Linked DNA regions of Canis lupus familiaris. The protein of the gene in region 1 purifies or fractionates together with the protein of each later gene. This does not show direct contact. Links are inferred from orthologs where the notes say so. Each region holds a gene or a part of one and is shown on either strand. Other genes may lie near its edges.

Evidence for each region.
Region 2: the proteins of CLK3 (region 1) and GPATCH8 purify together in Homo sapiens (affinity purification with mass spectrometry; 3 studies listed by BioGRID and IntAct, counting the BioPlex papers as one, with this or other methods). This does not show direct contact. The link is inferred for Canis lupus familiaris from reciprocal best matches to the Homo sapiens genes CLK3 and GPATCH8.
Region 3: the proteins of CLK3 (region 1) and TNPO3 purify together in Homo sapiens (affinity purification with mass spectrometry; 4 studies listed by BioGRID and IntAct, counting the BioPlex papers as one, with this or other methods). This does not show direct contact. The link is inferred for Canis lupus familiaris from reciprocal best matches to the Homo sapiens genes CLK3 and TNPO3.
Region 4: the proteins of CLK3 (region 1) and PSME3 purify together in Homo sapiens (affinity purification with mass spectrometry; 5 studies listed by BioGRID and IntAct, counting the BioPlex papers as one, with this or other methods). This does not show direct contact. The link is inferred for Canis lupus familiaris from reciprocal best matches to the Homo sapiens genes CLK3 and PSME3.
Region 5: the proteins of CLK3 (region 1) and FKBP5 purify together in Homo sapiens (affinity purification with mass spectrometry; 3 studies listed by BioGRID and IntAct, counting the BioPlex papers as one, with this or other methods). This does not show direct contact. The link is inferred for Canis lupus familiaris from reciprocal best matches to the Homo sapiens genes CLK3 and FKBP5.
Region 6: the proteins of CLK3 (region 1) and PSME3IP1 purify together in Homo sapiens (affinity purification with mass spectrometry; 3 studies listed by BioGRID and IntAct, counting the BioPlex papers as one, with this or other methods). This does not show direct contact. The link is inferred for Canis lupus familiaris from reciprocal best matches to the Homo sapiens genes CLK3 and PSME3IP1.

The regions. Positions count from the first base shown.
Region 1 is NC_049251.1:38,152,476-38,155,975, reverse strand, and holds part of CLK3 (dual specificity protein kinase CLK3), read right to left. Parts: intron 1,387-3,500; coding exon 1,270-1,386; intron 727-1,269; coding exon 560-726; intron 1-559. UniProt on the Homo sapiens protein: Dual specificity kinase acting on both serine/threonine and tyrosine-containing substrates. Phosphorylates serine- and arginine-rich (SR) proteins of the spliceosomal complex.
Region 2 is NC_049230.1:18,801,860-18,806,042, reverse strand, and holds the start of GPATCH8 (G patch domain-containing protein 8), read right to left. Parts: upstream 2,801-4,183; 5' UTR 2,700-2,800; coding exon 2,655-2,699; intron 1-2,654.
Region 3 is NC_049235.1:7,535,117-7,538,616, forward strand, and holds part of TNPO3 (transportin-3), read left to right. Parts: intron 1-1,261; coding exon 1,262-1,405; intron 1,406-3,500. UniProt on the Homo sapiens protein: Importin, which transports target proteins into the nucleus. Specifically mediates the nuclear import of splicing factor serine/arginine (SR) proteins, such as RBM4, SFRS1 and SFRS2, by recognizing phosphorylated SR domains.
Region 4 is NC_049230.1:20,062,001-20,066,167, forward strand, and holds the start of PSME3 (proteasome activator complex subunit 3), read right to left. Parts: upstream 2,801-4,167; 5' UTR 2,758-2,800; coding exon 2,683-2,757; intron 2,580-2,682; coding exon 2,547-2,579; intron 2,410-2,546; coding exon 2,347-2,409; intron 2,156-2,346; coding exon 2,051-2,155; intron 1,151-2,050; coding exon 1,102-1,150; intron 428-1,101; coding exon 315-427; intron 11-314; coding exon 1-10. UniProt on the Homo sapiens protein: Subunit of the 11S REG-gamma (also called PA28-gamma) proteasome regulator, a doughnut-shaped homoheptamer which associates with the proteasome. 11S REG-gamma activates the trypsin-like catalytic subunit of the proteasome but inhibits the chymotrypsin-like and postglutamyl-preferring (PGPH) subunits.
Region 5 is NC_049233.1:4,958,967-4,962,466, forward strand, and holds part of FKBP5 (peptidyl-prolyl cis-trans isomerase FKBP5), read right to left. Parts: intron 1,099-3,500; coding exon 954-1,098; intron 1-953. UniProt on the Homo sapiens protein: Immunophilin protein with PPIase and co-chaperone activities. Component of unligated steroid receptors heterocomplexes through interaction with heat-shock protein 90 (HSP90).
Region 6 is NC_049223.1:58,454,849-58,459,116, forward strand, and holds the start of PSME3IP1 (PSME3-interacting protein), read left to right. Parts: upstream 1-1,468; 5' UTR 1,469-1,619; intron 1,620-2,034; exon of another isoform or gene 2,035-2,272; intron 2,273-2,289; exon of another isoform or gene 2,290-2,310; intron 2,311-2,372; exon of another isoform or gene 2,373-2,795; intron 2,796-2,801; exon of another isoform or gene 2,802-2,979; intron 2,980-4,091; exon of another isoform or gene 4,092-4,211; intron 4,212-4,268. UniProt on the Homo sapiens protein: Promotes the association of the proteasome activator complex subunit PSME3 with the 20S proteasome and regulates its activity.

The DNA.
Region 1 (3,500 bases):
ATTGGGAAAAAGTCACTAAGTATCAAGATGACAGAGACAGAACACTCCAGCAACCACCCCAGGGCCAGCCCTGGAGCTGCTCCTCATCCCTCAGCCCGGGGGAGACATCCACCTCTTTCCTCCAGCCCCCGCCCCACCAGTGGTGGCACCTGCCACTTCGTGCTCCTGTCTCCTCCCCGACATCACGTGCCAGGTCCCCTCGGCCAGCTCGGGTGTGCGTCCTGTGCCCTCTGCCTGAGCCGACCCCGTGCAGCCTAGCTCTGAGGCCCGCCCTCCACCTGTGCAGGAGCCCGGCCCGTGCCGACCACCACGTCCTGCAGCGTGGTGTGCGTGGGGCCTACGAGTCGGGCCGCGGCCTTTCCATCCTCCACAGGCATGAGCGGGGCCTAGTGGCTGGGCTGGTTCTGGAGCTGCGCCCCCTTCTGCCTGAGAGCCCAGGGCATGGGAGGGCTCAGGAGCCCCCTACCCCAGAGTCCTACCCGAAGGCCTTTCAGCCCTCGGGGCCCCGCAGGTCGGCTGGCGGGCGCACGTGGCTGGCGCGTGGAGCGTGGACGCTTACATCTGAGGGCGTGGCAGAGCTGGTAGGCCATGTGGCGGACGTGCGGCAGGGGGTAAGGCTGGAAGTTGTTCTCCTTCAGGAACTCGAAGGTGTTCTTGCCCAGGAGCTCGAAGGCGATGCACATGTGACCGTGGAAGTTGAACCAGTCCGACATCAAGACACACAGGCTGGAGGAGAATGGTGCGCGGGGCTCAGCCTCGGTGGCGCTGGCTCCCCGGCCCTCGCTCAAGCTGGTCGCTGCCCCTGGGGCAGCTATGGGCGGGGGGGTCTGACTCGAGCTGTCCTGCCCCAGCCACCATCCCCGCACCTCAGGAAGAGATGGAATGGCGCATCCCTTCTCCAGCCCCCCTGAGCTTCCCGAGTCTGCAGGAAAGGGACTACCCAGCGTGCGTGTGCCAGAGCGGCTCTTGGCTCTCCTTTGGAGCTCTCTGACCATGTGGGGGCCCAACAGTTTGGGGGCGCATCTTGCCTGACCCCTGCCGTGACCCACGGGCCCCTATTTATGGAAGCGGGCCTGGGAGGCCTGCCTCAGTGCACAGGATGGATGGGGGGACCTGGATGGCAACCCCAAGCTCCACCAGCAGGACTCGCTGGCCCAGCTGCCCCGGCTCCATGGGTAGGGAGAGGACACAGCTGGGGGGGTCCAGGCCACGGGGCTGAGGACGCCATCCCCACTGGAAGCTTCCCCCTTGTTCCCTCCTGACACTCACAATTTGTTCTCTTTGTCCTTCTCCTTGATTTTTTTGAGAACGTTGATTTCTAGCCGGGCGGCCTCCCGGTACTTGCCCACGTTGCGGATGATCTTCAGGGCAACCTGAGACTTCCCTCTGGGAGCCGGGAAGGAAGCAGGGGTTCTCACGAGAAGGTCCCTAGCCCCTCCCCCCACCCTCCACCCCAATCCGGCAACTGCTGGCAAACAGCTTTCACAGCTTTCGGGACGGGACTCCAGGAACAGGACCCGCTCAGAAGAGCGCAGACACCCGACACCCGGCCTGCCCGCAGGCAACGCCACACCTCGCTCTCCCAGCAGCAAGGTCCCCTGGCGTCTGTTAGTCCCTGCCAGCCTGGGCTTATCCGATGGCAGCCACCTCGGGCTCCCAGAGGAGAGCGAGAGTGGAGTAGAGGCCTAGCCCGCTCGGTGACCCAGCCTGTATGTAGGCCAGTCACCCTGACCTGGCCAGGCCACCCCAGCCACAACCTCCTTGCGGCACCCCTTGACCTTCCTAAGTGCCTCTCCATGGCTGGGCAAACAGCTCCCCCTGGAGTGGGGGTTCCAGGATGGGATGAAGCCTTGGCCAGAGGGTAAGGGTGCCAGCAGCAGGGTCCTCTCACCGCAAGTCCCCGGGGCCCTTTGCTACACTCCAGCCCCCACCCCAGCCTGCCTACCAACCAGCCACAGCATTTACCCGAGACCACAGAGCGCCAGGAGGCCTCTTCAGTGTCTAGTGAGGACTTTTAAGAATTCCTGCTCCGGGCGTCCCAGCCCCAGCCCCGCCCGGCAGGCCACCGCAGAATGCCAGCAGAGCAGGGGACGACAGCTATCCGTAAGGGACACCCCGGTTTCAGAAGCCCATGGGGAACTAGAGTGAGACAGCTCTGGCTCATAAGGACGTGGCCCCCTGAGGCCTCTGGAAGGCTGGCCCTGGTGCCTAAGAGAAGGCTCACAGGTCCCAGGGCAGAGGCATCTTCTGGAGAACACACTGGTTTTCTCTCCCTATCCCATTTCCCCAGATCCTGAGGGTAGGCAAAGGCCACTTGCTGCAGGCTCCTAGAGCAGGATCCCTCAATGGCAGTCTGATGCTCAACACCGGGAGCGCATCACGTCCCCAGGCAGCCACTGCCAGGGTTCCATGGCTCGGAGGATCCCCCCTTTCCTCTCCGGAAGAATTTACCTCCTCCTCACAACCCCACAGCCAATTCCCTTTGGACCCCCCAGGAACTCCGGGAGCCTTGTGCCTGCCCCTTAGTGACTTCAGACTCTTACCTCCCCTCTATCTACTCAGGGTGGCACAGCCCAGAGAGCTTAGCTGCCCCCATGTGCCCAGCTCGCAGATCTGGCACGTATCTGGTCACAGTATGGCCTACGTGTCCCTATGCCCTCTGGCTCCAGTCCTAACCTGGGCCCACTGGGTCTGAGGGGTTTGTAAACTGGAACTGGGAGCCCAGGAGATTTCCTGTTAGTCGCTGTCACCACCTTATGTGGAGGCCACAGGGTGGCCGTCCTTTCTGAGCCCCGTCTGGGGGTACTCAGCACCACCACTCGACAATCGGGGGATATAGGTAAACCCTGAGCCTCTCTCTTCACCTCTACTACAGCGGAAAGGTCACAACAGGCAGCGTGCAGCTCCAATGAGACAGCACGGTCACACGCGCTTGGGAGCCAGAGCACCAAACCAATGACATTGCCATTAAGGGAGGGAGACGGGGCGCCCAGGAGGCGGTCTCCCAGACTAAGGTGGAGGGGCATGAAATCTGGAAGGCAGCAAGGTTCCCCAGAGGTCCCCAAACACACACAGGTATCACCCCGTTCCACCCAAACACATTCAGAGGACCCACGGTCAACGCTGGCCACCCCGAGGCGGCAGTGGCCGCAAGGTGAGAGCCCAAGTCTTGTTTCTCCCAATAGGGACGGGCCCAGCCTCTCAGGCAGGCCCCAGAGGGCGGGCTCGCGCTTGCTCTCAGCCCAGCAGTGTCCTCAGGCCCCGCAGGGACGGCAGGAAGCCGACCCCGACCACAGAAGAGCCAGGGCCCCAGCCCCGTGCAGATGTCACGGCCACCACAGCAGCGCCCCTGGGCGGGGATGCCGCGTGCCTGTGGAGCCCCGGAACTTCTCCCCATTCCAGGGGAGCAGCAGAAGCCCGACACGCGCGGTCCAGCACCCTGCTATGGCGCCGCCCTTCGGAAAGCACACGGGGGCTCGGACTGCCGCCACCCTCAGGAA
Region 2 (4,183 bases), on another chromosome or scaffold:
TTGTGAAGACTACAATACACATAAAGCCTGTAGAATGGTACCTGTTTATTATTAAAATAAAGCTAAATTATTGCCCTAATAATGATTACTCCTTATATTCCTAAGTGTTTCAGGTAGCATGCCACAATTAATATAGGTATAGGTAGCATGCCACAATAGCATGCTCACTATATTACACAAAACACCTTTAAAACTTCAGGTGTTCACAAATAAGTGAATCCACCTCTGACTCAATACTAAGTTCAAGATACCACAAACTCTCCAAAATTTGCAAGTGATGGTAAGTTGGCAAAGAGTGAAATTTTATAATTACAAATCATCTTGCCAAATTCAAGGCAAAGAAAATGAAGTCATCTAGAACTTACCAGAGAAAATGCACAGAAGAATTTCTAGTGCTGTAAGAAGATCTTTTAAAGCAACAGGATCCATGCACTGTTTGGAAATCTACTCTGGATTTGTTTTCAAGTGTATTCAATGGCTTCAACCTCATTTATCACTTAAAACCTTAAAAGGAGGCCACATTTAATTTTAATAAACCAACCTTAAAATGTTCCAGATATACTATATGCAGGAACATGATATTACATTTCCTCTCCAATAACTTTAAATTGAAGGACATCATTAATGAAAATCAACCTTTATCCTTTTACTAAAACATCCAGAAAAAAAATATGTTAAGTATTTTTAATTTTTAAATTTATTGTAGTTGACTACTTTATTTATAAATGGATGTTTAGAAATGTTAATCGATAATTTACAAAAACTTTAACATCTTATAATTGTCTAAAAAGCTTTCTTTCCAAATACCCTATTTTACCCATAATATTAAGACAGCTGAATTTTAGAAAACCATATTCCTGGCTCACCCAATACTGGCGTCGGTTATTCCAACATACAAGCAGGAAATAAATGTAAAATATACCTACTATCTTCAAAGGACTACCAACCAGATTTCATATAAGCCCAACTAAAGCATCAGAAGAGAAAATCATCTTACTTGAAAAGGCAGAGGCTTTCTCAATTTTTTTCAGGTGACAGCATTCATAATCTGCCAACCAGTTTTCAAATTTTTTCAAGGCCTTGCAAATTCTGTTTAAGTCTGCTGAAATTCTGTGGTTGACAGACATTTTCCCTCAAAACTTAATTGTCCATATTATTTATTTTCAATTCTATTAGGTCACCTTGAAATTCTCTCCTCTGAAAAACACTTGAGGATTTTAGTTAACATGTCTCTTTAAAGATTACCAATAAAGCCCACACATCTTGTAGCCTACTCACGTTTTAGGATGCTCGCTAAAAAGAAAAGAAAAAACAAAAACAATCTCTCAGGGAGCAAATGGCTATAGAGAACTACTTCAACTTCCCTGCACCTGCATTATACTCTTAAGCCGCCGTGAGATTCTGTACTGGGCTGCAGCTATACAGCAGGCGCAGATCACAAGGCTTTTTTCAACAGCCCCCAGATGCCTTACTGCTGCAAAACTTCTCTGTGAGGAGCGTTCTACGCACTGAACTGTTGTTGTTTAACTGCTTTCTTTACGTGTTTATTTACCAACCCCATCTCGGAAAAATTTAACTCCTTCAAACAGCCTTCTGAAACATATCCAGAGTATCCCGTGTGACTGAGAGGAAGATCTGCAGCGGGATAAAAACTTGAGTTGTGATGTTCATCCCCTGACCCAAATTGCTGTTGCCAGGATATGCGGTAGTAATGCAGTGGTTTGAGACTCTGAGGATGCATTTTACTCTAGAATCAGCCAGCCTCTACTAAATCCCTCTTAGTCGCCGAGATTTCTGCAGTAACCATGCTCAACAGGAAGGTATCTTAAACGGGAAGACGAGTTATTGTAATTTAGCCTTTATTTGCTCCTCGGTAATGCCTGCCATCACAAGGACACTTTTCCATACAGCGTTTGCAACTAAAGAAAGAAAAAGGGAGCTTCTGGCGCTAATTATCGCACTTCAAAGGTTAGTCCATGATCATTACACTTGTTAAAAATCTTTCGAGGTAGGATTTGGGGCTAAGCTTCCATCGACAACAGTCCTCTAACTTACTCTTTTCCAAGCAAGATGAACGGCCTCATGACAACAGCAACATTTACGCCTAGGGAAATCTCAATGTTCGACCAACCAAGAAGGCGTCTGATAACTCAAGCATCCTTTTCCCATGTGAGGAAATAGACAATGAAAGGGACTTATCGTACTGAGGATAGACGAAGGACGACCCGAAAAAGAGCCTTGCGAGCAAAACCCGGGGGGCTCGGAAGCCCTGGTCTCAGCAACACCAGCCCGAAGCCCTCCCGACCCATCCCTCTTCTCCCCCGGGAGCCCGCCCGGCGCCTCCACAGGCCCGGCGGACCCGAGCGGAGCGCAGTCCCGAGTCTGCGGCCCGGCCAGGCTTCCGAAACCCGCCCCAGCAAAGCCGAAGCCGCAAACCCGGGGGCCGGAGTTTCACAGGTAAGAGAATACGAGCTGAGAGGGGATGCGGCCTCGCCTCAAGCTGGGAGGCCCCTTGAGGAACTGGGAGGCGGGAGAAGAGCAAGCCGGTTCGTAAGCCGGAGCCGAGCTGGGAAGGAAAAGCGCTAGGAGCGGGGGAGGAGGTGGTCCCGGCTCTGCGAGCGCCTTCCCGGATTCTCGGCGACGCCCGTGTTTACCTGAAAGTCTCGATCCTCGTTGAAGCGGGAGAAGCGGTCCGCCATTTTGCCGCCTTCACTCCTCTCAGGACGACGCTCTCCGGTTCGCTCCTTCCCTCCCGCGACACCCGCCCCCTCGCTCCCCTCCCCAGTTCCCCGCCTCCTCCCACGCCCACCCAGCGCGCGCAGGCGAGGGAGGGAGGAAGCGAGAAAGCGCGTCCAAAAAGGAGCCCCGCCGGCGCAGGCGCCTTTAGGCCCTGGAGGCGGAACCTTTCCTTAAGTCCCCTCTCCGCTCGCGGCCCAGAGCGACCCCGGTGGCCGCGCGTGCGCACTCGTGCCGGGGAGCTGCAAGCGCTTCCGGAGAGAAAGGTCACGGGGCACAATACGCCGGGGTCCGGGTGTTTTCCACCTGCTGCTTTCCCCGGCTACGATCTATTTTCTCGCCCTCTTGTTTCCCTGGGTGTGCAGAAGCCCATCGTCTGCCTTATTCACTAAATACCAATGTAATGTCCGGGTTGGAAGCGCGGATTTTGGAGCGGGACTGCTTCCTTTTCGAATCCCAGTTTGCCCTGGGGATTAAATGGCAAACGAGACGGGGAAAGACCCCTTCGGTCATAGGGCTTACATTCCAGTGGGGGAAAATCAGATACATAGTAAAAATAATCGCGTAATTTTAAATGTTAACGAGGGCTACAAAAAAATAAAACAGTGCGGTGATGAGACCTCTGAGATGACCTTTGGCCTTTGAGGAACAGCAGGCGGCAAGCCCCCCACCCCCACCCCCTACCCTTGCAGCCTTGGAGCAAAGGGAACGTTAGACCCACAGGCCCCTTGACTGCTAAGAGTTGTCATTTCTAAGAGATATGAGAGTAAAGATTTTTCAGGAGACCAAAGGTGATCCAAATCAACTAAAGCTCTCTGGGTTTCAGTTTCCTTTTTATAAAATAAGGAAATCGAGTTTGGTAATCTCAACTGCCCCTGCCCAGGAATGACTGTGGATTATGATTCAGATTTTTCCATCCTATGGTTTTCCTGAGGTCCCCACCCAGCTCCCTTGGCCAAAATACATAAAACACGTGGGAGGGGTATGAGGACTTGCCTGCTTTTGAAAAGAGTAGTTGACAGAAATCATAAAATGGAAAATAGCCCTTACCCTCCCCTGAAAGAGTCCAGTGGAATGTACATTTTTGGAAGAAGGATGTGTATCTCATATTCCTTTGTTACTCTCTGCCTCACCCAACCCCTAGTCTAAGCAGAATACAATTTTAAGCAGTGAAAAGAACTAAGTAGAGGCAGAACACAGACTGAAAACATTGTAAAGAGAGTTGAGGGTAAATGGCAGGTTGAATCACATGGATACACTGGACAGGTTTACCTCTTCTCCCTCACCTAACCCTACTAAAATGACAGTTAAAGAATGAGAAAGACATGGACAAAGAGACCTGAAGAAGGTACAACAGTAGGCAAGAGGTGTCAACATTTTGGAAGCTGGAGGTAGGGGGTTCCTGGCTGGCTCACTCCATAGAGCATGCGACTCTTGATCAAGGGCT
Region 3 (3,500 bases), on another chromosome or scaffold:
TAAAGAGGAAGCCAAGGTAACCCTTTCTAAGTTCTGAAGCTTTATGGTGTGTATTTGATTCAATGAGTGATTTTTTTTTTTCTCTTCAAAGCAACTAGATTTAGATGTAGCATTTTTCCAAAATTCTGTTCTTAAGTTTGAGTCAGAAGTTAGAATATACAGTCAAGTCCTTCCATTTGTAAATATCATGTCTTAGTAAATTGAAATGTCATTCAAGAAGTATAAAGGCCAAACAATTGTGTAATGATTATACCTTCAAAGATTCAGATGTGTGTGTGGTTGCCATGAACTTGCTTGAAGCATCTTTTCTTTTTTCGTTTCAATTCCATTCAGTACAATTACTAATTGAGAAGAATGTAATTATAATTGTCTGATACAGCAATAATAGGAGGAACCTGGCTACCGAAAAGTACAAGAGTCAACGTTTAAATCACTATGGGATTCTGTATCCCACCATATGCAACCTAAACCCCATGGCAGTTATGTTATTTCTGATCATTGCTTATAAAAGTTACATTTTTTAAAAAATCCAAACAAAGTTGCACTACACTTTACTTTGGAAAAAATATACATCACAAAAACAGTTTGCAAAGAGAAACTGGTTTTTTATTTATTCATGAGAGACACAGAGAGAGGCAGAGACATGCAGAGGGAGAAGCAGGCTCCTCACAGGGAGCCCAATGTGGGATTTGATCCTGGGATCACACCATGAGCTGAATGAAGGCAGATGCTGAGCCACCCAGGCATCCTTAGAAACAGTGGTTTTAGTCTGACTTTCCCTTTTATCTCTTTTATCAACCCACCATATTTACAGTAGTGTCTTTTTCTGTGGAATGGTGTATTTACTGGAGTAATCAAGTGTAGCTGAAACATCAGCTTTTCATAGTAGGACTAGCTTACTTTTATAAAATCAACTGTGTAGATGAGTATTATTTTAAGATAATTTTTTGATAAGATTATGTTAATGCAGAAGAGGGATCTAAGAAACTATTATTTCTGAAACAGAACTATCTTTGGACAAGTTTTAATCTCGGTGTATCTCAGCTTCCCAGTTGAGAAAGTAGAAATAGTACCTGGCTGTAGTGTTAGTTGAGATTAATAAATTAAGGGCATTGAGAGCAGCATCTGACACTTTCAAAGCGCTTTGAACTGTTGGCTCTTAATATTATTATCCTTCTCAATATTATACCTGCAAGATGATTTTAATAATGGTTTAAAGATAAAGTTTGCCATTATTTAACTTTTTTTTCCTTCTTTTCAGATGACCTGTGTAGAAAAAGCAGGAACAGATGAGAAAATGCTTATGAAGGTCTTTCGCTGTTTGGGAAGTTGGTTTAACTTAGGAGTTTTGGACAGTAACTTCATGGCTAACAATAAGTTACTAGCACTCCTTTTTGAGGTTTTGGTAAGTAATGGGTTTGTTTATGAAAGTATTTTTACCACATAGTCACAGTAGTAACTAACCTTCTGGAACATAGCAGTGTTTTCAGATTTCTGTACAGTGATTAGAGGATGTATAATAAGAAAGCAGTGTCTCTCTCTTGCTTGTTACCAAGTACCAAAGGTATTGAAGGGGGCAGCCCAGGTGGCTCAGTGGTTTAGCGCTGCCTTCAGCCCAGGGTGTGATCTTGGAGACCCGGGATCAAGTCCCACTTCACACTCCCTGAATGGAGCCTGCTTCTCCTTCTGCCTGTGTCTCTGCCTCTCTCTCTGTGTGTCTCTCATGAATAAATAAATAAAATCTTAAAAAAAAAAAAAAGTATTGAAGGTATTAGTATTAATACTCAGAACAGAATGTAGTTAGGTTTAATAGGAAAGCAGTTTTACATGTAGATCAGTGGTTTACATATTAAACTCCAAGTAACAAAAAACCATTGGTCTCTTTTTTTCTTGTTTTGTCCCCTTTTCCTGGATGATGTCCTTCCATAAAATCATATTAGTTTGGAAGCTCTGTGTGTACTGGTTGTGTGCTAGTGCACTATTATTTAGAAGGTGGTAGGGGCACCTCGGTGGTTCAGTCAGTAAAGCATTTGCCTTCAGCTTGAATCATTATCCTGGAGTCCTGAGAATGAGTCCTATGTCGGGCTCCCTGCTAAGTGGGGAATCTGCCACTTCCTCTCCCTCTTCCTGTGCTGTTCCCTGCTCTTTCTCTCTCTCAGTCAGTCAAATAAATAAATAAAATCTTAAAAAAAGAAGATGATAGCATGATAATAGATTGATACCACTGTGAATTAAAGGAAAGGAAAGCACATTCTTCAAAAAGACATTTTTGGTATTCTATTGTTAGTGTATTTATGCTGTGTTTTTTCAGGAGCAGGAGCTAAGACGCAGGAAAGTTAGGATGCTGCTAATAATTATTTTGCTAGTCACTGTCTTTGTCTCCATTTCTATTGATGCCCTACCTCAGTAATGGTAATTTTGATTCTCATCTTACTAAATTGTATAAAGAGTAGTCAGTATAAATAAATTAAAATCCTACTTTTGTTTAAAAGTTTATGAATATGAGGGACACCTGGGTGGTGAGGTCAGTTGAGTGGCCAACTCTTGGATTTAGCTCAGGTCATGATCTCAAGGTCATGAGATTGGAGCCCTTTGTTGGGCTCCCTGCTCAGTGGGGTATCTACTTGAGATTCTCTCTCTCTCTCCCTCTGCCCCTCTTACTCATGCACACTCTCTCAAATCTTTTAAAAAAATTTATGAGTATAATTGATTACATATGAAGGGAGGGCAGTTTAGAATACACATCAAACACAAGACCTTGGTTACTTCTGGGAATTAAGACTGGGGTAAGGAGCAAGCTAAGTAGTGTGCCAGGATTATATTCTTCACTGATCCAGTGTGTCAAGACCCCTTTGCTATTTAAAAGAAGGATAATTTTAGAGTCAGTGTCAAATATATTCTCATTCTTACATTCATTCAGTGGTTCAGAATCATGCCATTAGTTTGGTTTATGTGCAGACCACAACTTTATTATAATGGTGTAATAAACTGTAATAAACTTTTCTCCCACAGTTCTTTTTTTTAAGCTTTTACAAATATAATGCTGGAGATATGTATATATATATATACACACACACACAAAATATATATACACAAAAGAATAAATTTGAGTGTTTAACTTTTAAATCATATAATAACAATAAATATTTTTGAATTTACCTCTCAACCTAAGAATAACCTAATGAATAATTTGCATCTATCTTGTGTGTTCTCCCAACCCTCACTCTATTGCTCCTTCCCCACCCTGGAGATTCTAAATGTCCTTGTTTTTTATTATTCACAAAAGACTAATATGCTTTCACTAAATTTACCCATCCTCTCAACTGTACTCTTCTAAAAAGAAGCCCTAGAGGAACCTTCTGATCTGCTCTAATTTGTACCAATTACTCTTTAGATCTTCTCCTCAGCTGTTGTTCTGGAACTTCTCTTTACTATGCTTTTGGATTGGATTGTGTTTTGAACGTTTTTAGACACCTTCCTTAGAAAGATATGTGGGAAGT
Region 4 (4,167 bases), on another chromosome or scaffold:
ACATTTTGACCTGAAGGGTGAGAGGACCAATATATATACATATATATGGATATATATAGACATATATATATATATAGAAACACACACACACACACACACACACACACATATATGAAGACCCTCGCTTTTTCTGCTGAAGCCATGAAATATACAATCCTTGCTGCTGGGATCAGATGCCAGGAACATGGTAGCCAAGATACTTAATGTGCCAACTCCTCTATCACCTCCATGCCTCCTGCCCCACAACCAATATTTTTCATAATTCAAGCCAGGCTTTTTGGGGTCAGCCCTTAAGTCACTAGCCCCTGCCTCACCGTGTTGCATTTCTCAATCAGCAGCCGGATCTCAGGTTTCACTTTCTCAATAATGTCCACTAGCTGCTGGTTGCTTTTTAGCATCCCATTGGGCATCACGAACACCTTGGTTCCTGGCAGGGACATGAAGAAGGTCAAATGATTGAGGGATTGGGGGACAGGACATAATACCCCCACCTTCCTTGTTTCCCAGACCCATGAGATGCTATGATCTCTGCTTTTTATCTAAAATGAGTGTCTAAAGTGCCGAAGTCAAGGGATCCTTGGGTGGCTCAGCGGTTTAGCGCCTGCCTTTGGCCCAGGGTATGATCCTAGGGTCCCGGGATTGAGTCCTGCATCGGGCTCCCTGCACGGAGCCTGCTTCTCCCTCTGTCTATGTCTCTGCCTCTCTGCCTCTCTCTCTCTCATGAATAAATAAAATCCTTAAAAAAAAAAAAAGTGCCAAAATCTGAATAAGGAAAGAATAGGAAATTAAAATATGCTCTAAAGATTTAATGCACCAACTATTACTGAAAAAGAGAAAATAACTAGAACTTCTGTGGAAAATCTAAGATGTGTAGCCACCTCAAACCTCTCCCCCTTGACAGTCCACACTAAGTCAACCGCTCCCTATTTATTGGGAAATTAGGTTTGGGGTGCTAAATAATAACCATGTTTGTAGAACTTTGGAATGTTAACGCTGGAAAATAAAATTCGGTCTTGTTTTCTGATCAGAGACTGCCAGATCAATCCTCCTGCTCAGGGTTGCAAGCCAGGGAGTAGGTGGGCGGGGGAGACTGGCTCTTACCTTGGAAGGCCTCTTCACATTCATCCAACCTTCGCTTCTTGTAAGTGGGCTAAGGATACAGAGATAGGAATTAGTCTGCTCTTGACACCCATATTCCCATCACAAGTTACCCTTCAAGCAAGTCTAATCTCTTTGGCCCCATAGGCTGTTTTCATTTATGCACAATTTACTAAGCACATATAAGACTTTAAAAAAGATTCTTGCCACAAAGCAAGTTACAATCTAGTTGGGAAGACCAGCCTTCAAATGACACATTAAGCAACTGGGGGAGAGGGGTGGATACTATAAGCAACAGGAAAAATGAACCATTCAAAGCACAGTGAGTATACTAAAGGGAATATGTACAAATCTTCAACTTCCACAAAGAAGTACAATATTCAATCAACAAACATGTACTTAGCACCTACTATGTACCAAGTACAGTGCTAGGTGCTAGGGATACAAAGATGATTAATAGTTTCTGTTTTCCAGAATTGCAAGCTCTATCAAGGACACAGTAATTCAGACAATACAGTGTTAACACTGTTATTATGAAATGTGGACATGTAACTGGCAAGCACGGGGTTCTAAATATATGTCACATAGACAGAGACTACAGTTATATAGCAAGCACTACTCATCCTCTAACAATACTCAAGACATTGAAAAAGGTAAGAAATATCTTGTTTAGAGCCACAGGGACAGACCAGATAACTTGAGGAAACCTGTAGCTACTAGTCCTATTAGGAACTCACTGTAGGACAAAGTAACATTACATTACACACTTCATGCTATAAATGAAAACCAGGGTCTCAAAGTGGTATACTGGAATCATCAGGTCTATAAGAGCCCTTGTTCCTAGATCCTAATCCACTGTCTCCTCCGTATGTGTTTAAATTGACTAGGAAGTAAAGAACAGAGACTAGAGAACTATTGCTTCAGAATACAAAGAAAAATACAGGACACTCACACCGTCCAGTCCATCGTGGCTATTGGTGAGAAGAATAGGATCAGGGACTGGGAGATTCATGTCTGAGTGGATCTGAGTTAGGTCATGGATGTTTAGGATTGGTTCCTGAAAGAGAGACGCCCACCCCCAAAACAACATCAGTCTTTTCAAAATGAACAAAGAAGTATTTTATTTGAAGGGCAAGAAATGAGAGCATTTTACTGTACAAAACAAAATAGAATCAACACATGATTTCTCCCATTTGACAGAAAGACCAGAGCCAAAAAAACGGGAATTTGAAGAAAAGAGTCTCTCACCTTCAAAAAGCTATCAAGTTCTAACAACTTCTTTGGGAAGAAATTTGCCACCAAGTCTTCTGCCTAAAAATGAAGGAAAATACAGCTCAATTAATAATTGTGGGAAGGTCTCTCTCTACAGATCTCTTCTTTGGGAAATTCCCAACTATCAACCAACGCTTATTTATTTTATTTTATTTTATTTTTTTTATTGCACTCACCTCACTTGTGATCCGCTCCCTGAAAGAATCAACCTAAAATTAACAAAGAGAGCAATTCAGTAACAGCAAGTCAGTACCTGGCAACAGAGGTTAAGGGCAGGACGGGAAAACCCAAATCCAGCCGTACTCCCCTCACCTTGTAATTGTAATGAGAAGCTGAGAGACCCCCAGACTGTAAATACTTTATTTTTTTGAGGATCCATTTCTCCATCTCAGGAGAGGGAAGTGGGGTTTGAGGGTAGCACCCGCCTGCTTTCCCTCCCACCCTCCCTCCTTGTGTCTGAAGCTGTCTGGATTTGAGAGCAAACGAAAGTCAGGTAGACAGGGGGCATGTGAGCTCACAAACGTGCCAAGCCCCCATCCAGACCTAGCCTTTGATACCAGGGAGGCCTGACGCCAAGGGTAGGGGTAGAACAGCGGTAGCATCCGGAGGCGGGGACGTTGCTGGACTGGGGACTTCCAGCTGTCACTGGCCTAAAGTGTTGAGTCCACCACGTGTCCGCGGAGGTCTCCTCGGGGATCTCCACCACCAGATGCGGTTCACAAGGCCACCCCATATTATCCTCTCCCCTGATGCCGTCTCCGGGAGTGGGGGGCTGGGCTGAGCTGAGCGGAAGCTCAGAGCTGGTGTCCCCAGGGAGACAAAGACGCCATGGGGAGTGGGGAGCCGGTCAGACTGCTCGGGAATCGAAGCGGGGGGTAAGGAGGCCCAGACCGGTGCCGCTACCTTGAGCTTCACTTCCTGATCCACCTTCAGCAACGAGGCCATGGCCGGGCCGGGCCGTGTCCGCTCCACTGGAGACCAGAGGCGCTGTGGGCTCCGGGGAGGGGGTCAGAGGGACGGGAAGAATCTCGGCTGTTCTAGGGACGCGACCGCCCTCGCTGGCTCACTCACTGCTCGCTCGCTCCCTCCCTCCGAGCCGTCCGCCCGCCCGCCTGCTGCCTGCTGCCTGCTCACTCTCTCGCTCGCCCTCCCGGCTTTCGCCGCTCACGCCGGAAGTTACATCACAGCCAATCGCCGGGACTCCGGAGAGGCGCACGTGCCCTGCGCAGCCGCGCTGGGGTCCAGCCCTGGACGTCCGAGACCGGACTCCTAGCAGCCGGCATCCAATGCCGGGTAAGGGCGAAGTAGGAGGGAGAGCAGCCGAGGGTGGTTTGCTTAAAACTGAGCATTAGAGAGACTCCAGGACTGTTGGACATTCTGTTAGCTCGGCGCTCGCCCTCATCACAGGGACCTTCTGAACCGCTGCCGCCTCGAGGACAGGACGGACAGCGCCGTCGCGCCCCAGTGACGTCGGCCCGAGGAAGCCGGCGGCCCCGGCGCTGGGCTCGGGGGTTCTACTCTGTGATTCTTGCTGCCTCCTCCCGTCGGCCGAAGCTCTAGTGTTAGGCTAGAGTCAAACAGAAGTCAAGCTCTGTTGTCCCAGGCTTCTCCACCTTCCTCCGTCACTTAGCCTCATACAGTTCGAGACCTCAGAGATCAGCTGCCTGATGGGCAGATTGACAACCGGAGCGCGGCATTGCTTGTCCAAGCCCACACAGTTTCCAGACCCAGATCTCCCGACTTTCAGGACAATGCCGTTATCTATTTTCCTAATAGGAGGCAGAGACCGTACCTCTT
Region 5 (3,500 bases), on another chromosome or scaffold:
TTAAAAATCACATTCGTTGATATCCACGGATCTCATCAGAAGTCTTTTAAGTTTGAGGAAGTTGTCAGGCTCCCAGTGGCAGATACAAATTTCCCAAAACTGTAATTTTTATTTGAAAACTCAATGGTAAGACATACTGTCAGTTGTCTTCCTTGAAGTGACAGGCTCACTTCATTCATTTTTTTAAAATTGTATTTATTTATTAATTAATGAGAGACACACAGAGAGAGAGGCAGAGACACAGGCAGAGGGAGAAGTAGGCTCCACGCAGGGAGCCCGATGTGGGACTCGAACCCACATCTCCAGGATCACACCCTGGGCTGAAGGCGGCACTAAACCGCTGAGCCACCGGGGCTGCCCCATTTCATTCATTATTAAGAAAGTATCTGCCAAATACTATATAATCAAGTCTAAACAACGACAGTTTGCCCTTTTAAAGAAAAATGATTATTATAAAAAAAATGCACTCAAGTTAAGTGCACAGGTACTTCGTGAGATAACCAGTACACTCGGGTATGCAAAAGTGCTCCATGTGTGCTTCCCCATCTGTCATAAAACAGCAAAACAATGTGAAACTCAAAGATCAGGATTTAATAAAATCAGTATTTTTTATGCTTTGTCGAGGACACCAAGTGAAACTGGCTTCCTTTCTGATCCTTATTTACACAGTGCATAAAGGCAGCGAAGCATATACGATTGCTAGCATAGGCTGGTGCCACCGCCTAGAATTGCACCAGGGCACCAGCAGCCTTTACCACTGCAGCTTGTGCACCTTCAGTAGACTTTACTGCCAACACTGTAAACAGATAAACAACATCTTAGTTTTATTATAAAAACAGTCTTGACATTATGGACCTCCTAAAAATCCACCAGCTCCTCTGATCCACTAGCTCCTATGTAATATAAATGGCAATAAATCCAAGCAAAACACAACTCCAAAAATACCCTCTTACCTTTGCCAAGACTAAAGACAAATGGTTCATTTCGATCATGACTGGAATCAAACTTCTTTCCATTTGACAATTTCCCTTTGTAATGGACATAAACTTTGTCTCCAATCATTGGTGTTTCCTCACTATTCCCCACTCTTTTGACAATCTAGAAAAGACAAACATCAAGAAAAAGGAGCTGATTTTATTCTGATCAGAGATGCACAATCCATTCCACTTTACCTACAGATTTACTAATAATTACCTGTCCTTCCTAAAGGCCTCCCCGCTAGTTCTCTTAATAACCCTCACTGTTAGAAAATCGTCCTATGCTACTCTCAATCTTTAATGCTATATTTAATTTTACTGCCAATCACACTATTCCCTCAAAATAACATAATAATATAACCCCAGAGGGCAGCCTGGGTGGCTCAGCAGTTTAGCGCCACCTTCAGCCCAGGGTGTGAACCTGGAGACCAGAGATCGAGTCCCACATGGGGCTCCCTGCATGGAGCCTGCTTCTCCCTCTGCCTGTGTCTCTGCCTCTCTCTCTGTCTCAGTGTTTCTCATGAATGGATAAATAAAATCTTAAAAAAAAATAATAACAAAAAATTTTTTAAATTTAATTTAATTTTTTAATTTTTTAAAAATTTTTTTAATTTTTTAACAAAAATTTTAATTTTTTAATTTTAATTTAATTTTAATTAAAAAAATTTAAAAATAATATAACCCAAGAGATCCTGACTCATGCTTTGACACTAAAATCTCTCAAAACACAGAGCTAGTTCATATACAAACTGAATTAGACCAAAAAGATTAGACTTTCAAAAACATTCAAAAAGGGGGATCCCTGGGTGGCGCAGTGGTTTGGCGCCTGCCTTTGGCTCAGGGCGCGATCCTGGAGACCCGGGATCGAATCCCACATCAGGCTCCCGGTGCATGGAGCCTGCTTCTCTCTCTGCCTGTGTCTCTGCCTATCTCTCTCTCTCTCTCTCTCAATCTGTGTGTGACTATAGTAAATAAATAAAAAATTAAAAAAAAAATTAAAAAAAAAAACATTCAAAAAGGAGTTGAAAGCAAACTTACAAAGGTGAGATTTTATTTACTTCCACCCTTTGCTAAAAACTTTACCTTTTGACTAGATTCCACTAGTTTGGTTTAATTTCAAAAAGCTCAATTTCCTGGTATAACAGGTTATACTTTTTATTATGTGAGGAATATTTACTGTGAAAAAAACAGTATCACTGTATAGTTTGATATGATACTGAATAGCTTGTTTTCTAGTAAAGCAAATGCCAAAAAAGCTCCAGGCTGAAAAATAGCTAGCTGTCATAAAATCCAGTATATTTATTTTGTTCTTGGCAGAGCAGACTACTAATGCAGTTGGTCAGTTCTGGGAAAAGAATATCAAATCCAAGCATGTGGTGGCATAATTTATTCTGTCAATCACCTATGCCAAATTAATCATTTTTATTAGATAACAGAGGATGGTAGCTAATGTCCAAGAATCGTCATTTTAGGGAAGAGTCTGAATTTTTATATAAAGAATTCAGTTATTCACTCCTAAATTCCTTAAGATGTATCCTCCCAGCCCCACCCTCATATCACCACATAAACACTGTAAGCTTATATTCTACAATTTTCTAGTTCAAAAGTCCAGATATTCTTTAAAGGAAAAGAATCATTATCACAGCTCCACCAAAAACCTGTTAGAACTAATCATTAATGAATTCAGTAAAGCAGGAGGATACAGAATCAACACACAGAAATCAGCTGTTTTTCTACACACTCATAACAGGGATATATCTGAAAAAGAAATAATGAAAACAATCGAGAAATGCAAGTCAAACCCACAAGATACTACCTCATCTGTTAGAATGGCTAAGATTAAAAAGACAAGAAATAACAAGTATTAGTGAGGTTTTGGAGAAAAGAGAATACTCGTGCACTGTTGGTGGGAATGTAAGTTAGTGAAGCCACTGTGGAAAACAGTGTGACCATTCCTCAAAAAATTAAAAACAGGACTACCATACAATCCAGCAATTCCACTTCTGGGTATTTCTCTGAGGAAAACGAAAACACTAGCTCACGAAGACATATGTACCTCCTATGTTCATTGCAACATTATGTACAATAGCTAAGCTATGGAAATAACCTAAGTGTCCACAGAGAAACGAATGGATGAAGAAAATGTAGTATGTATATTATATACACAGTGAAATGTTAATCCAGCCATAAAAAAAGAATAAAATCTTGCCATCGTGACAACATGAATGGACCTTGAGAGTATTACGCTAAGTGACAGAAAATCCTGTATGATCTCATTTATATGTGGAATCTAAAAAAGCTGACCTCACAAAAACAGAGAGTAGAAGGTTAGTTGTTAGGGGCTCTAGACTGGGAAAAATGGGAAGACATGAAGAGTTACTTTAAGTAGATGCTTTAAGGATACAATCTAGTCTTGATTCAGCTCCACAATGTAATTTTATTACTTTTATAGTAATAAAAGACATGACTACAGATGAGGCACTCTGCTAAATGCTTTATATAATCTCAATAACTATATGAGGT
Region 6 (4,268 bases), on another chromosome or scaffold:
TTCCCATAATTTTTGTAATAATTGACAGACGGACTTAAACTCACGAGTAGAAACAGACTGTTGTAAATGCATTTTAGGAACACACAACAATTTGTTATTCTCTTGCCAAAACATACTGTAGAGTTGTTGTGTTTCCCTATTCACTATAGAATAATAAACTTTTACACACAATGCTATGCTTTTTATTTCCTCTTGATTCTTGGCCAATTCACTAAGGGAAAAGTCATTTTGTTGACAAATCAGAAAAAGTCCACACAGAGTATGCTGGAACACTTCCTAATTAATAACTTAAAAATAATCATGGAGTACAGAAATAATGAAGGGTTTGTGAAAACAGCAAAAGCAGGACAGAGGCATTAAGCAGTAGGTCAGGACAGCATGTATCCTGGGAAATCAGGAGTTCATAAAATCACCAGTTTGTTTTTTTTTTTTCTTTACGACCCATGGAATACAAAATTAGAAAAACAGGAAATGCAAGCCAGCTTTTTGTAAAGAAAGAAACCCAAAGAACAAAAACAATCACCGAAAAACCAAACTTGAAAAATCACAAATCACCCAACATTTGGACAATCAGCTCTAGCAAATGCCAGTAACCAAACGTTAGGAACATGTCATACATGGACACAAGTATCATAACCTCATAGGGGGAGCTACAAAGCAAGATGTCATTCCAGGAAATGCAAATTATATATATGGTGAGAAATTAAAGAGAACCACTGTGGAAGAGAAATTTAAGATCAATTGGTAATGTGCCTCATAATCCGTCGTTTGAAGTCACCATAGAACACAGAAAGGCATAATAGTCACGGGAAAAAAAATAAAAAGGTCTCATCTACAAAATCACAACTGAGGAGAAGGACGATATTCACTACATGTAGATACCCAAAGGTCACGAATACACACACACACACACACACACACACACACACACAAGGGAAAAGGGAGGGGGGGGCGGTGGTGGTTCATAATTCTGAGATCAAATTTCAGCCGTCAGAGAAAAACTTTCTGGAGGAAAAGATCATATTATAGGGCTACCTCCTGCCAGCACCATCAGAAGTTCAAAGTCAATTAAAAGTCTGGGAGCAAAAAACCGGAAACCCCTGCCCTCCCATCTGAAGCAGGGGTTTAGATCCTGGTGTGACCTAGAAAGGCCCGAACCTGGAGGTTCCCAGTACAACATGGCTCCCAGCACCATAGGTGATCAGCAACTGTATTAATGCTAATCCCCTACACCTACATACTGCTTTACAGTTCAGGAAGTGCCTTCACGTCCATTCCTCACCCCCTGTGGTGGCAGAGTCGCAGTCCTCCGCTTTCACACGGCTTGTAGCTCGTCAGGTCTCTCCACACACCGTGCCGTTTTACAGAAGGGGCGCAAGAGACCAATCTGCTCTCCTAAGATCCCGCCCGCGGCAGGCGAGGGGCCTGGGCCACTGTGGGGCTCGACCGAGTCACTAACACGCACAAGACACTTCCAACCTCGGAAAGTTCAAAGTACAGCACTCCAGGGGGAGCAGCCCCATTCGGACGGCTCCGCAGACTGCAACTGCACCGGCTCGGCGAACCCTCTCCGAGAGCCTCGCTCTGCCTCCTCCGAGACAGGGACGCCGAGGCGCCAGGTAGGAACCGAAGCCTGTCTAGAGGCACCCGAGGGTGCCGCTGCGACGGGACGGACCCGCGTCCCCACCGCCCTGCCCTTGCCGCTGCCCCCTCCCCATTCCCCGCCCGGCTTTCCGGAACCGCTCAGCCACCGCCTCGTCCCAGGGCCCTTCCCCTTCTTCACATCGGGCCTCCCGAGTAAGAGAATCCGCTCGCTCTGGCCCCGCTCCCGGTCCCTCTCCCCGCGGGGCCCCTCCACCCCAAGGCATTTCTGCGTCTCCCGGGCAAGGTCCGACTCCCGTCCGTGCCGCCCCAACCTTAAACTCCACAAAAGAAACCCCTCCCCAAGCCTCCTCCGGCTACCCCTTCCGTCCAGGACGCTCCTGAGGAGCACCCCTAGTATCCGGAGCCTCCCCAGAGCTACCTGCCTCTCACCTGGGCCCCTTTAGCCGCGGCCTCCTCGGAAGGGCGACCCTCAACAGCCTCCGCCTCCGGCCACGAGCCCCCTGGAGGGGGAACACCCTCTTCCAGGTGCCTCCTCAGACGCCCTCGGCGCGGCCTCAGTGGAGGACCTCGGGCTGTTTCCTGGGCTCTGCCCAACGCCACTCCCTCCCGGGCCCTCACAGAACCTGCCCTGGCCCCCGTCGGGTCTCCCCAGCGCAGACTCGGGCGGCTGTTCCCCTCCCTCACCGACGTCCCCAGCCCTCGGACTGCCCCCCGCTCCGCGTCCCCACTGGTTTCCCAGAGCAGCGCGGCCGGGCTGTGGCACTGACTTCTCCAGCTCCCGGGCCCACCCGAGGGAGGGGGCGGCGGCGGCAGCGGCGCGACTCCTTTGTGACAGGTCCGAGAGAGCGGTAAAGATGGACGCGAGGCCACGGCGCTGCCATTACGCGCTGGGCCCACCCCCGCTTCGCACCGCCCCTGCCCTCCCTCGGTCCCCTAGGAAACGCCCCTTCCTCGGTGGCAAGCCCTCTCCCTGGAAGCCAATCGTCTCTCAGGAACGGTGCCACGTGATCACACGCTCCGGCCCGCCCCCCAAGCGCGAACTGGCCAATCCTCTTGCTGAAGTGGGAATGGCCCAATCAAGTCTCTCCGCCTAGCCTTCGGGACACCGGATTTCCATCTGTCCCCTGGGAAGAAAGAGAGGTGCGGATTGGGTTACGCCGCCGGAAGCGGGGCGGAACTTTGTTGTGGCGGTGAGGAAGAGGAAGCCCTGAAGGGTCAAAAGGAATACAAAAGCAAAGGCTGTTTTCTTTCTTTTCTTTTTTCCTTCTTTCTTTTTCTCCCCCCCCCCCCCCCAAAGAACGAGTGGCCTTAGCGGTGGCGGTTTGGGGTGGGCGCCGCCGAGGTGAGGGGGTCTCGCCTCCCGCACGCTGGTAGGTGAGTGCGGCCTGGGCCCTGGTCTGGCGGAGAGACCCGGGCTCCAGCTTCTTCCCTGAGGACACGGGGGGCTACGACTGGTGTGAGGTATAGGGCCAGGCCCGCCCTCAGTCTGCGCCCTCGCCCAGTCTTCTGAGTCACTGGGGTCAGGGGCTTGCTGGGGCCCAGCCAGGGGGCAGCCGAGGGAGCCTGCGGTAGGGCATCCCAAGCGGGATGTGGGGCAGCATCCCGACCCCTTCCAGCGGTCTCGGGACTTCGGGCCTCTTCCTGGCTCTCTTCCACCGTTTCTGCTAAGTGGGGCCACCCCCCAGGCTCCAGGTGCGGGCCGGGCTCCTCAGGAAATGTGGGAGTCCCTGGATGGAAATGGTTGAATCCCAGAACGCAAGTGTAGGATGGGAAACGCATTTCTTATGTACCATGTACCGTTTGCTGTGCTCAGTGCAATTTCTTCTAATAGATAACAAACCAGCGTGCTCGTTTTGGAAAAAACAAAAATAAAACCCCAAAAAACAAAACCCAAAACCAACCCTCCCCCCCCCCCAAAAAAAAAAACCAACAAAATAAACAGCTTAGGAAACTAAGACCATGGGTGGAATGATCTTGTTTGAAAGTTGCCCACGTGAATGTCTGTGCACACAGGTGTGAAGGTGGAGACCTACTAAGAGCAGTGGTTCTTAGCCTAGTAGAAAATACGATCTTCTGACGTCCATTTAAATACAGATTCTCTGACCCTACCCCCCAGATAATCTGACTGAGTAGGTCTGGAGTTGGGACCCAGGGAAGCCAGCGCGTTTGCGCCTGGTGGTCAGAAATTCCAGTGACCTGTTGTGTATCAGCTGTGAAGTAAGAGCTGTTCATCTTCAGCTGTTTGGCTTATTGATGAGTTAACAGGGACCCCATAAAATGGTTTGGAGGGCACTGCTTCTGAAGTCCTTGAAAGGAATTAGTGTTTATACTCCTTTTTGATACAAGGAATTGAGCTGAGATAAAGGCAGCTTTCACAGTCTTTCAACTAGAGCATGAGAGGAGCTGTTAGCAATTTCTAGGAGTCTGAAAGCAGAGGCTGGCCACTTATTTTTCTCAGCTGACGTGTTGGTGCCTTAATCCCTTACAACCAGGAAGAACAACGTCAAGACCATTTACGTGGTTAGCAGCCTTTCCTTTCACCTTCTAAGAGTCTTGATGTTTGGTTAGAGTTAAGCTGCTACCTCATACTGAAAACTGCATTGCTGGTAAGTGAGGTTATTGAAGTGTGTGGTTCCACCAGAGGCTCAATCATACTGTAATTA